2 linked regions of the Coturnix japonica genome follow. The protein of the gene in region 1 purifies or fractionates together with the protein of each later gene. This does not show direct contact. Links are inferred from orthologs where the notes say so. Each region holds a gene or a part of one and is shown in the gene's direction. Other genes may lie near its edges.

The links. The genes of interacting proteins can lie anywhere in the genome.
Region 2: the proteins of DNAJA1 (region 1) and ENDOG purify together in Homo sapiens (affinity purification with mass spectrometry; 3 studies listed by BioGRID and IntAct, counting the BioPlex papers as one, with this or other methods). This does not show direct contact. The link is inferred for Coturnix japonica from reciprocal best matches to the Homo sapiens genes DNAJA1 and ENDOG.

The regions. Positions count from the first base shown.
Region 1 is NC_029547.1:62,426,509-62,430,827, forward strand, and holds the start of DNAJA1 (dnaJ homolog subfamily A member 1), read left to right. Parts: upstream 1-1,469; 5' UTR 1,470-1,558; coding exon 1,559-1,690; intron 1,691-1,772; coding exon 1,773-1,950; intron 1,951-3,212; coding exon 3,213-3,317; intron 3,318-3,430; coding exon 3,431-3,658; intron 3,659-4,319. Other genes in the region: APTX (aprataxin), read right to left, coding at 797-843, 1,066-1,195.
Region 2 is NC_029532.1:3,987,310-3,991,579, forward strand, and holds ENDOG (endonuclease G, mitochondrial), read left to right. Parts: upstream 1-1,431; 5' UTR 1,432-1,543; coding exon 1,544-2,050; intron 2,051-2,231; coding exon 2,232-2,341; intron 2,342-3,027; coding exon 3,028-3,313; 3' UTR 3,314-3,718; downstream 3,719-4,270. UniProt on the Homo sapiens protein: Endonuclease that preferentially catalyzes the cleavage of double-stranded 5-hydroxymethylcytosine (5hmC)-modified DNA.

The DNA.
Region 1 (4,319 bases):
TTTCACAAGACATCACTATGCTTCTCATCACCTCATCTTCAATCTGATGGAGTGACTGCCCAATCCTAGCCAAAGCCTCCTCATCCTACAGTGCCAGTTTCAGTCAAACAAAGCACATGTCACATTGCAGGACAGCAATACAGCTGTGCGCTCCTGCATTGAGGTACAAATGGAAAACAGACCCTTTCTGAGGACTTTCTGACGAAGATGATCAGGGGGCTGGAGCATCTCCCCTATGAGGACAGGCTGAGGGAATTGGGTTTGTTCAGCCTAGAGAAGAGAAGGTTGCAGGGTGACCTCATTGCAGCCTTTCAGTACCTGAAGGGAACCCACACCCAGGAGGGGAGTAAACTCTTTGAAAGGGCTGACAATAGCAGGACACGGGGAAATGGTTATAAGTTAAAAGAGGGAAGATTTAGGTTGGATGTTAGGGGGAAGTTCTTCACTAGGAGAGTGGTTAGGCCCTGGAACAGGCTGCCCAGGGAGGTTTGTGGATGCCGCCGTCCTTGGAGGTGTTCAAGACCAGGTTGGACGGGGCCCTGGGCAACCTGATCTAGTAAAGGTGTATGTTTGGTGGCCCTGCCAGGCAGGGGGTTGGAACTACATGATCCTTGAGGTCCCTTCCAACCCGGGTCATTCTGTGATTCTGTGACCATCTGATGAACTCCTGATGGCCACAAAATAGCTCCAGGACTTCATAATCTAGGATGAGATCTGTAATTCGCAGTATTAGTGGACTTCAAGCATAACAGGCCAGTAAGCATTAGAAACACTAAGAAACCGCTTAAAAACATACCTGCTTAACAGTAACATATCCCTCGTTACAGTCTGCTTTCAACACAACTGAAAGAACAAAAAGTCATGAAAAGCCGTGAAAAGAAAGGCCTGAAATCCACCCACCCAGCCCTTGGGGAAAACACTCGTGCACCCTCAGCCTTGCGGCAGAGAGAAGAGCTCTGCCTCATCACCCACGTCCTAAGCAACAACACACAAGGATGAAGCTGACATGACAGCACTCCCCCCCCCCCTTATGCTCGCTGCAGCAGCCGGGAGGCGCGGCCTTACCTTGCCGCCGCGAGCACCTCCTGTCGGTGATGCCTGTGAGCGGCCCGCGGCCCAGCACCACGTCGGCCATGTGGGGCAGCAGCACCCGTAGGCCTCGCTCCTCCATGGCCAGCAGCCAGCAGTCCCTCATGGCCGCGCTGTGGAGCCGAGCACACACCGCGTTACCGGGCCGCGCCGCCCGCCATCGCGGGCCGCACCATGGCAACGCGGCCTACACCGCGCACGACCCCGCACAACCTCCGCCAAGGACGCATGCGCGCTCCCGTCTCGAGTCCTTCTGCCTGAGTGGGCGGGGCCTCGCTGAGGCTGAAGGCGCTGATTGGCTTAGCGCGCTCCGCCTCCTTCTCCTATTGGTTGTTCCTCTCTTGAAGCTGACTTCCGGGGCGGGGCGGCGCCGTCTCAAAAGCGCCGGATACGGCCCGGCTCCGAACTTTCCAGAAGAGTCGGGAGCGGAGCGGGGCTGTGTGGGCAGAGCGGGCAGTGAGGGCCCAACATGGTGAAGGAGACCAGGTACTACGATGTGCTGGGCGTCAGCCCCAACGCCTCGGCTGAGGAGCTGAAGAAGGCGTACCGCAAGCTGGCCCTGAAGTACCACCCCGATAAGAACCCCAATGAGGGAGAGAAGGTGGGTGAGGGGCGGCAGGGAATGAGGGCCGGGAGCGGCGGGACCGCGGGGTGTCTGAGGTGTGTGTGTGTCCATCCCGCAGTTCAAACAGATCTCACAGGCCTATGAGGTGCTGTCCGACCCCAAGAAGAGGGACCTGTACAACAAGGGCGGCGAGCAGGCCATCAAGGAGGGCGGATCGGGAGGCGGCTTCGGGTCCCCCATGGATATTTTCGACATGTTCTTCGGCGGCGGTGGGAGGATGCAGAGGGAGAGGAGAGGTATGAGCGGCTTCTGACCCCATCCCGGGCCCGCAGAGCAGTTCTGCTGTTCTTAGGATGTTCCCGTAGGCAGCCTGGGGGTGGAGGGCTGCTCAGGGAACGCGAGATGTAGCGCTGAAGGCCGTGGTTAATGAGCTGAGTGGGGGGTGCGGCTTAGTGAGCTTCCTTACCTTAAGGATCCGATCTGTGCAAGCGGCCGAAGTGCCGTCCCTTAACGCGCGAAGCAAACAAGGGGAGGGTAGTTGCATAGTGCAATGTTTGAAGCCGTGCTTTGTGTTGGTCTCTAACCGGGCTTTGTGCTTGGAAAGCTTTGGCTGAATGGTTGCCTAGCTTTTGTTACTGAGTAGGAAACGCAGGAGTAACAAGCCTTAAAGTAAGTGCTAAGTAAGGTGCCACGATATCAAAATGGAAGTTGATCTTACATTGTAAGTGGCCCCAGGTTGGACGGGGCCCTGGGCAACCTGATCTAGTAAATGTGTGTGTTTGGTGGCCCTGCCAGGCAGGGGGTTGGAACTACATGATCCTTGAGGTCCCTTCCAACCCGGGTCATTCTGTGATTCTGTGGCTTTATCTAAATAAGATAACCAAGTTACTTTGACTCTGAAGCCTTCTTGTGATATTTAGTTGAACTGGATTGAGTGCAGCTGCAGTAATGTTCTGCTCAAAAGTTAAAATCTAGAGGTAGCATAAGGGAAGGCTGATGTTAATTAAACTGCTTAAAAGCAGCACTGGCCACAGCACTTCTCTTCCTAGTGGGACAAAGGGAATTTAAAAGGCTGTATCAGAGTATTCTTAGTAAGATAGAACTTGCTGTACTTCCCTGAACTGGTTCCCTTGTTCCTAAAATTCTAATGAATTCCTGATTGTAGAAGTGTAGTTACTCAGATTAGTTTCCAGAAGTCCCTTCATGAGAGACAGAAAAAGCCTAACTGGCTTTAGGTTGTGCCTCCCACTTCCTTGTAGAAGAACTTCAGTTAAAGCAGAAGTTTTGAATCTGGAAGTAAAATGTAGTGTTTCACACTTCTGTTACATCTATTGTGTGTTCCCTCAGACGTGAGTCAGATTTCTTCTAATAGAGAGGTGTTAATGCCTTTAGAACCCTTACCTAACTACAGTACAACTGGGAAACTGACTAATACAAGTAGTGAGAGAACTGTGAAACAAGATGTTAAAGGCTACAGAAGCTTGTTTTAGCATGATATGGAAATTGTACTGTTACTTTGAGTCCATTTGCAAACTAAAGTAAATGTTTTCTTTCACAGGCAAAAATGTGGTCCATCAGTTATCAGTGAGTTTAGAAGATATGTACAATGGTGCAACAAGAAAACTTGCACTGCAGAAGAATGTTATATGTGACAAATGTGAAGGTAACTGTGAAATGTTGACTATAATTCCTTCTCTCTGGAGATGCAGAATTAACTTATGCATTGCCAGAAGCAATGAGAGATCTCTGTTACCCATCTCTGATTTTTCTCTCCAGGTCGTGGTGGTAAGAAGGGTGCAGTAGAATGCTGCCCGAACTGCAGAGGGACAGGCATGCAAATCAGAATTCACCAGATTGGGCCGGGCATGGTGCAGCAAATCCAGTCTGTGTGTATGGAGTGCCAGGGGCATGGAGAGCGCATCAGCCCCAAGGACCGCTGCAAGAGCTGCAACGGCAGGAAAATTGTTAGGGAGAAGAAAATACTAGAAGTGCACATTGACAAAGGTGAGGTGACTTGGTAAGATGCAGGGTTAACCTTGGTTGTACTGACGCTGCCTTTGTAGTTCTTAAACATTAACAAATGCGTAGTGTCAGCTTGGTGAGTGGCACCCTTGAAAACAATGGACTAGACTTTTACCGTCTTCAACAGTAGACCTGTGTTTAGGGAATGTTTGCGCTATGTTAATTTTTTGTGTGCATAGTGAATAACAAATGGAGAAATGTGCAATATTGTAAGTAGTGAATTATTTTTATCTGGTGCTGTTCTGTAAGTGCAAGTTGTGATCAGGTAAACATGTCACTTGGTTCAGCTTTCGCAATGAGTTTTCTGTGTGTCGGGAAACTATGCAGACTCCGATCACTTCTACTGTGTTTCAGTGTGAAGGGGAACCAGGTCTGCTACAGTAATTGGGTGCAAAGATGGTGCTAAGCCTGTAATGCTTGGAACTGTTTGCAATGCAACCCCTACAGTACTGCTCAGCATAGCTGATATTTGCCTGGCAAAATGTAATTTAATATATGAACCCTCACGGTGGTGGGAGAATGCAGTGTGTTGAGTGTGACAAATACTTTTCCCCTGGGGATTTCCAGAAGTTGGATGGACAAATCTTGGGAGTAGTGCAGCTTTTCTGACAAACTGTGCTAGCAAGCATGTAACTGCTACAGA
Region 2 (4,270 bases), on another chromosome or scaffold:
CTCTCTGCTGGGTGAGCATCAGTGAGGGTTCCCACTCTGAATAACCACAATTCTTATGACTTGGCCACTGCGGGAGGACCCCAGCGTGTGGATGCTCTGCAGCACTGCAGTGACAGCCACCTCCTCCTTTCAAGGTGTCACAGGGCTTATGTTGTGCTGTTCTCTTTGGGGAGGGTGATGGGGAGCACTTTGAAAAGGATTTTGCAGTGGGATGAGAGCTTTGGCTGCTGGAAGGGTTTTGTGGGATACATTCTGCAGCTTTATCCAGGTGGGCCTCTGTTAATTGGAGTTTACTGGGGAGAACTCATAACAACTTTGATGCGCCCCAGCAGGCTGAATCCTACATGAAGAGCTGTTGTACGTCTCTCCTCAGCCCCTCCTGTGTGTAGGCCTTTATTCTGCTGCTGCAAAGGGCTTTGAAGGAGCTGCTCTACTTGGCAGTGATGTTCATTCTTCTGAGGCTTCGTTTCTTTAAGAGCAAAGATGGAGGGGAGAAAAAGTCCTGTCACCAGCTTCTGAATCTCCTCATTAGTTTCCATGCCTTCATTCCTCAAAAGCTGTTGGTGACAATGATTTTACTTGCCTTTGTTTGAGTTCAGGAAGCTGTGGTCCTGCTTCTCCGCCCTGCAGGAGGGCTGCTGCCTTCCCCTTACTGTAGCCTGGACGTCTGGAAGTTTGGCTTTGGTGAGGAGGTGGAAAGGAGAGGACAGAGGAGATGGAGTCTGTGATGATGGTCACACAGAGCACAGGTTGTTTGAGTTCTGTGACCTAACACAGTTGTTCATCCTTGGGCAGTGAGGGCTGAAGGCCAGAAGGTGGTTTGGTGATTCTGTGGTTAAGCAGAGGGTTTTTTCCTCATGTCAGAGATTGGATCCCACCACTTTGCGTCCTTCCTTTCCCAGCAGGTTGAGGAGCTCACTGGGTGGTACATCGGAATAACACTTACTTGTGCTTTTGTTTTTACCTTGGCTGGAAAGAATCACCAGAACAGGGTCTAGAGAGGAAAAACACTTCATCACTCTGAGACGACTTTTATGCTTCTTTTTAAACACTATTTTTATAAAGCTCCCTTTAGCTCAGCAGGCAGCTGCATGTGGGCATTCAGGCTGTGCTCGGGGCGAAGCTCAACCTTCCTCAGGGCATTTGGGGCCTGAGCTGTGCTGGCTCCATTGCCCCATGTATGCAGTGATCAGTGCGAGTCCTGCAGCGCTGCCTGCTCAACTTCTGCTCTTTCCTTTTGTACTTTAACCCCTTATTATGAGACCCTCCGCGTCTCTGATTTAACGCTGTTGTTGAGTTGTCCAAATAAAATGGTTTCTTTGCACACTGCTACAGGCTGTGCTTCCCTAGGAGCCCTTTAAGGGGCGATGGTCTGTGCCGGAAGAGAGCGGCTCTGCAGCAGGAAGCGGCCGTGTTTGGGGCCGGGCTGGTTTAGGGCCGGGCTGTGCTTGGGGCTGTGTTTGGGGCTGTGTTTGGGGCCGGTCTGTATTTGGGGCCGGTCTGTGTTTGGGGCCGTGTTTAGGGCCGTTCTGTGCTCGGTGCCATGCTGTGGGGCCGCTGGCTGCTGCCCGGTGCGTCCCTGGCCGTGGGCGCAGGGCTGGGTGCAGCACTGTCCGCCCGCTGGCAGCGCGGTGCTGCGGACACGGAGGTGCCGGGGCTGCTGTGCCGCCTGCCCGTGGTGCCGGTGGTGTCGGCGGACTCGAGCGCTCCAGCCCCTATAGAACCGGCACGGACCGAGCTGACCAAGTACGGGCTGCCCGGGTTGGCGCAGCTGCGGAGCCGCGAGTCCTACGTGCTGTGCTACGACCCGCGGAGCCGCAGCGCGCTGTGGGTCATCGAGCAGCTCAACAAGGAGACGCTGAGCGGAACCTCGGATCGATCCAGCTGCGACTTCCAGGAGGACGATTCGGTGCACGAGTATCACCGAGCCACCAACGCCGACTATCGGGGCAGCGGGTTCGACCGCGGCCACCTGGCTGCTGCCGCCAACCACAAGTGGAGCCAGAAGGCCATGAGGGACACCTTCTATCTCAGTAATGTCGCTCCCCAGGTAGGGCTCACAGCACTCATGGTGTGGCTTATGGGTTCTGTTCCTCCACATGCAAACCATGGCTCCAGGGTGGGGGTCAGCTCATCTCACAGCACCTTCAGTGCTCTGGGAGTGTTACAGATGTGTTAGAATAGCCCTGAGCAATAAGGAAGTGTCCATGTCACCATCTTTGTGTTTGTAGGTGCCTCATTTAAACCAAAATGCCTGGAATAACCTTGAGAAATACAGCAGGAGCTTGGCGAGAAACAACAAGAACGTCTATGTCTGCACAGGACCTCTGTACCTGCCCAGGTAAACACCAGGAGCCAGGTGGGACCACAATGAGGATGTTGTGCTGGGAAGGTAAAACAGGCTGAGGGCTGCAGCTGCCCCAAACCAGGAGTGAACAGCCCAGACCCCCAGTGAGAGCAGCAGGCTGCAGGGTTTCTGCAGGAGGGTATTTTCTTAGCATTGCGATTATTTTCAGTGTTTCTTATTCAGTCAGTTATTTGGGGAGTACAAAGGGTGTGTTTCCTGAGATGCAAAACAGTCCAGTCACTTTGGTTTACAGTTTTTAGTCTAAGCAGTGTTGGATTAGTAGGGCATTGAATGAACAGATTAAACTGCACACCTCCCTGCGGAATAAAGCTCCTGGGTTTCATTTCATGGACTGTTTGTCCACTTAGAGCATGACTTTACCTGCAATGATATTTATGTGGGAGCATGAAGAGCAGTTTGATAAGCTGAGTTCTCTGAACAGCCTTTTCTTACCTCCTAATGTAAAAGGGGAGATGGTGAAGGAGGGGTCTGGGAGGAGCAGAACCAATGTAAGCTCACCTTCCCCATGTCCCCCAGCCTCTGTACAGCAATATTTGTTACATCTGCACTACAGATGTCATGCTGAGGTGGGGGCTTGCAGAAGGGTAGTGTTAAAGAGCTGAGTAGGGTGGAAGTGACATCAGCATAGGAGGTAACGTTGGATGTTGCTCTTGGTGCAGGATGGAGGCTGATGGGAAGATGTACGTCAAGTACCAGGTGATTGGGAAGAACAACGTGGCCGTCCCCACCCATTTCTTCAAGGTGCTCATCCTGGAAAAGGAGAGTGGAGAAATTGAGTTGCGCTCCTATGTGATGCCCAACAGCCCCGTGGATGAGAAAATCCCACTTGAACGTTTCCTGGTTCCCATTGAGAGCATTGAGCGAGCCTCAGGGCTGCTCTTTGTCCCAAACATCTTGAAGAGAACAAGCAGCTTGAAAGCCATCACAGCTGGAAACAAGCGATGAACTGTGACCAACCAGATCCAGGTAGCAGTGGGGGCCCACGGAATGTTCCCTTGTGTATTTTAAGGTGTGAGAAATAAGAGAGGGGTGTTTCTCTCGACCCCTTCCCCAGTTTCATTAACAGTGAAACACAGTGAAGCGTGTCCTAAGGACAGGCTGTAGGGAAGGCTTCGGAGTCCTTGATGGGTCCTTGTGCTCTGCACTTTGCCCCTAAGCTGCAGTACTGTGGGTGTTACTGTAATCACTCCCTTTGTGCGTGGCACATTATGACACATAGGGGCATTAATTTCTGTACTTAGAGGGAAGGATGGGAGCAAGCCGGGTACTGTGAGAGGAATGAAAGGTCCTTCCATTTCTGCTTATAATTTTCACGAAATGGTTTTAGCAGTAAAGCTTTGAAAGCACCAAGGATTGGTCATTTTCTTATCTGCTCTTACCAAAGCCTTTGAATGTCCTTCCCCCTTCCTGTCAAGATAAAGGCAGCTCCAGCCCTTCCTGCCTTGGGAAGGATGAAGCCTTGGAGTTGAGGGGATCTGGGGAGTCAGACTAACAGTGTGACAGGAACACGTGCTTGACACAAGGATTAAATTATTACTTTTGAAGCTTGAGGGCTGCATTGCTGCAGGGGCACTGAGAATGTGAGCTCCCTGGATGCAGTCAGCTACCTGGATGCTGACTGCTCGCCTTCCACACAAAACATGGGGAGTTTGAAGGAAGCAGAGGTTTGGTACTGTTTTATTCTCTACCGAAGGCATCTGAATAGCTGACAGTCAGTTTGCTGACCAGCTTTTAGCTGGATGTTGCAGCTGAATGGTCCAGAGATGCTGGAGACTTGGTTGAGCAGCGCTGCCAACTTTAGTCACTTTGTGTCTTCAGCTTCCCCAGGGCTGGTTCCTGGAGTGATTCTCTGTGTTTGAATAGCAACAGGCTATTCCCAGAGGCAGTCCAAGGCAGAGGACA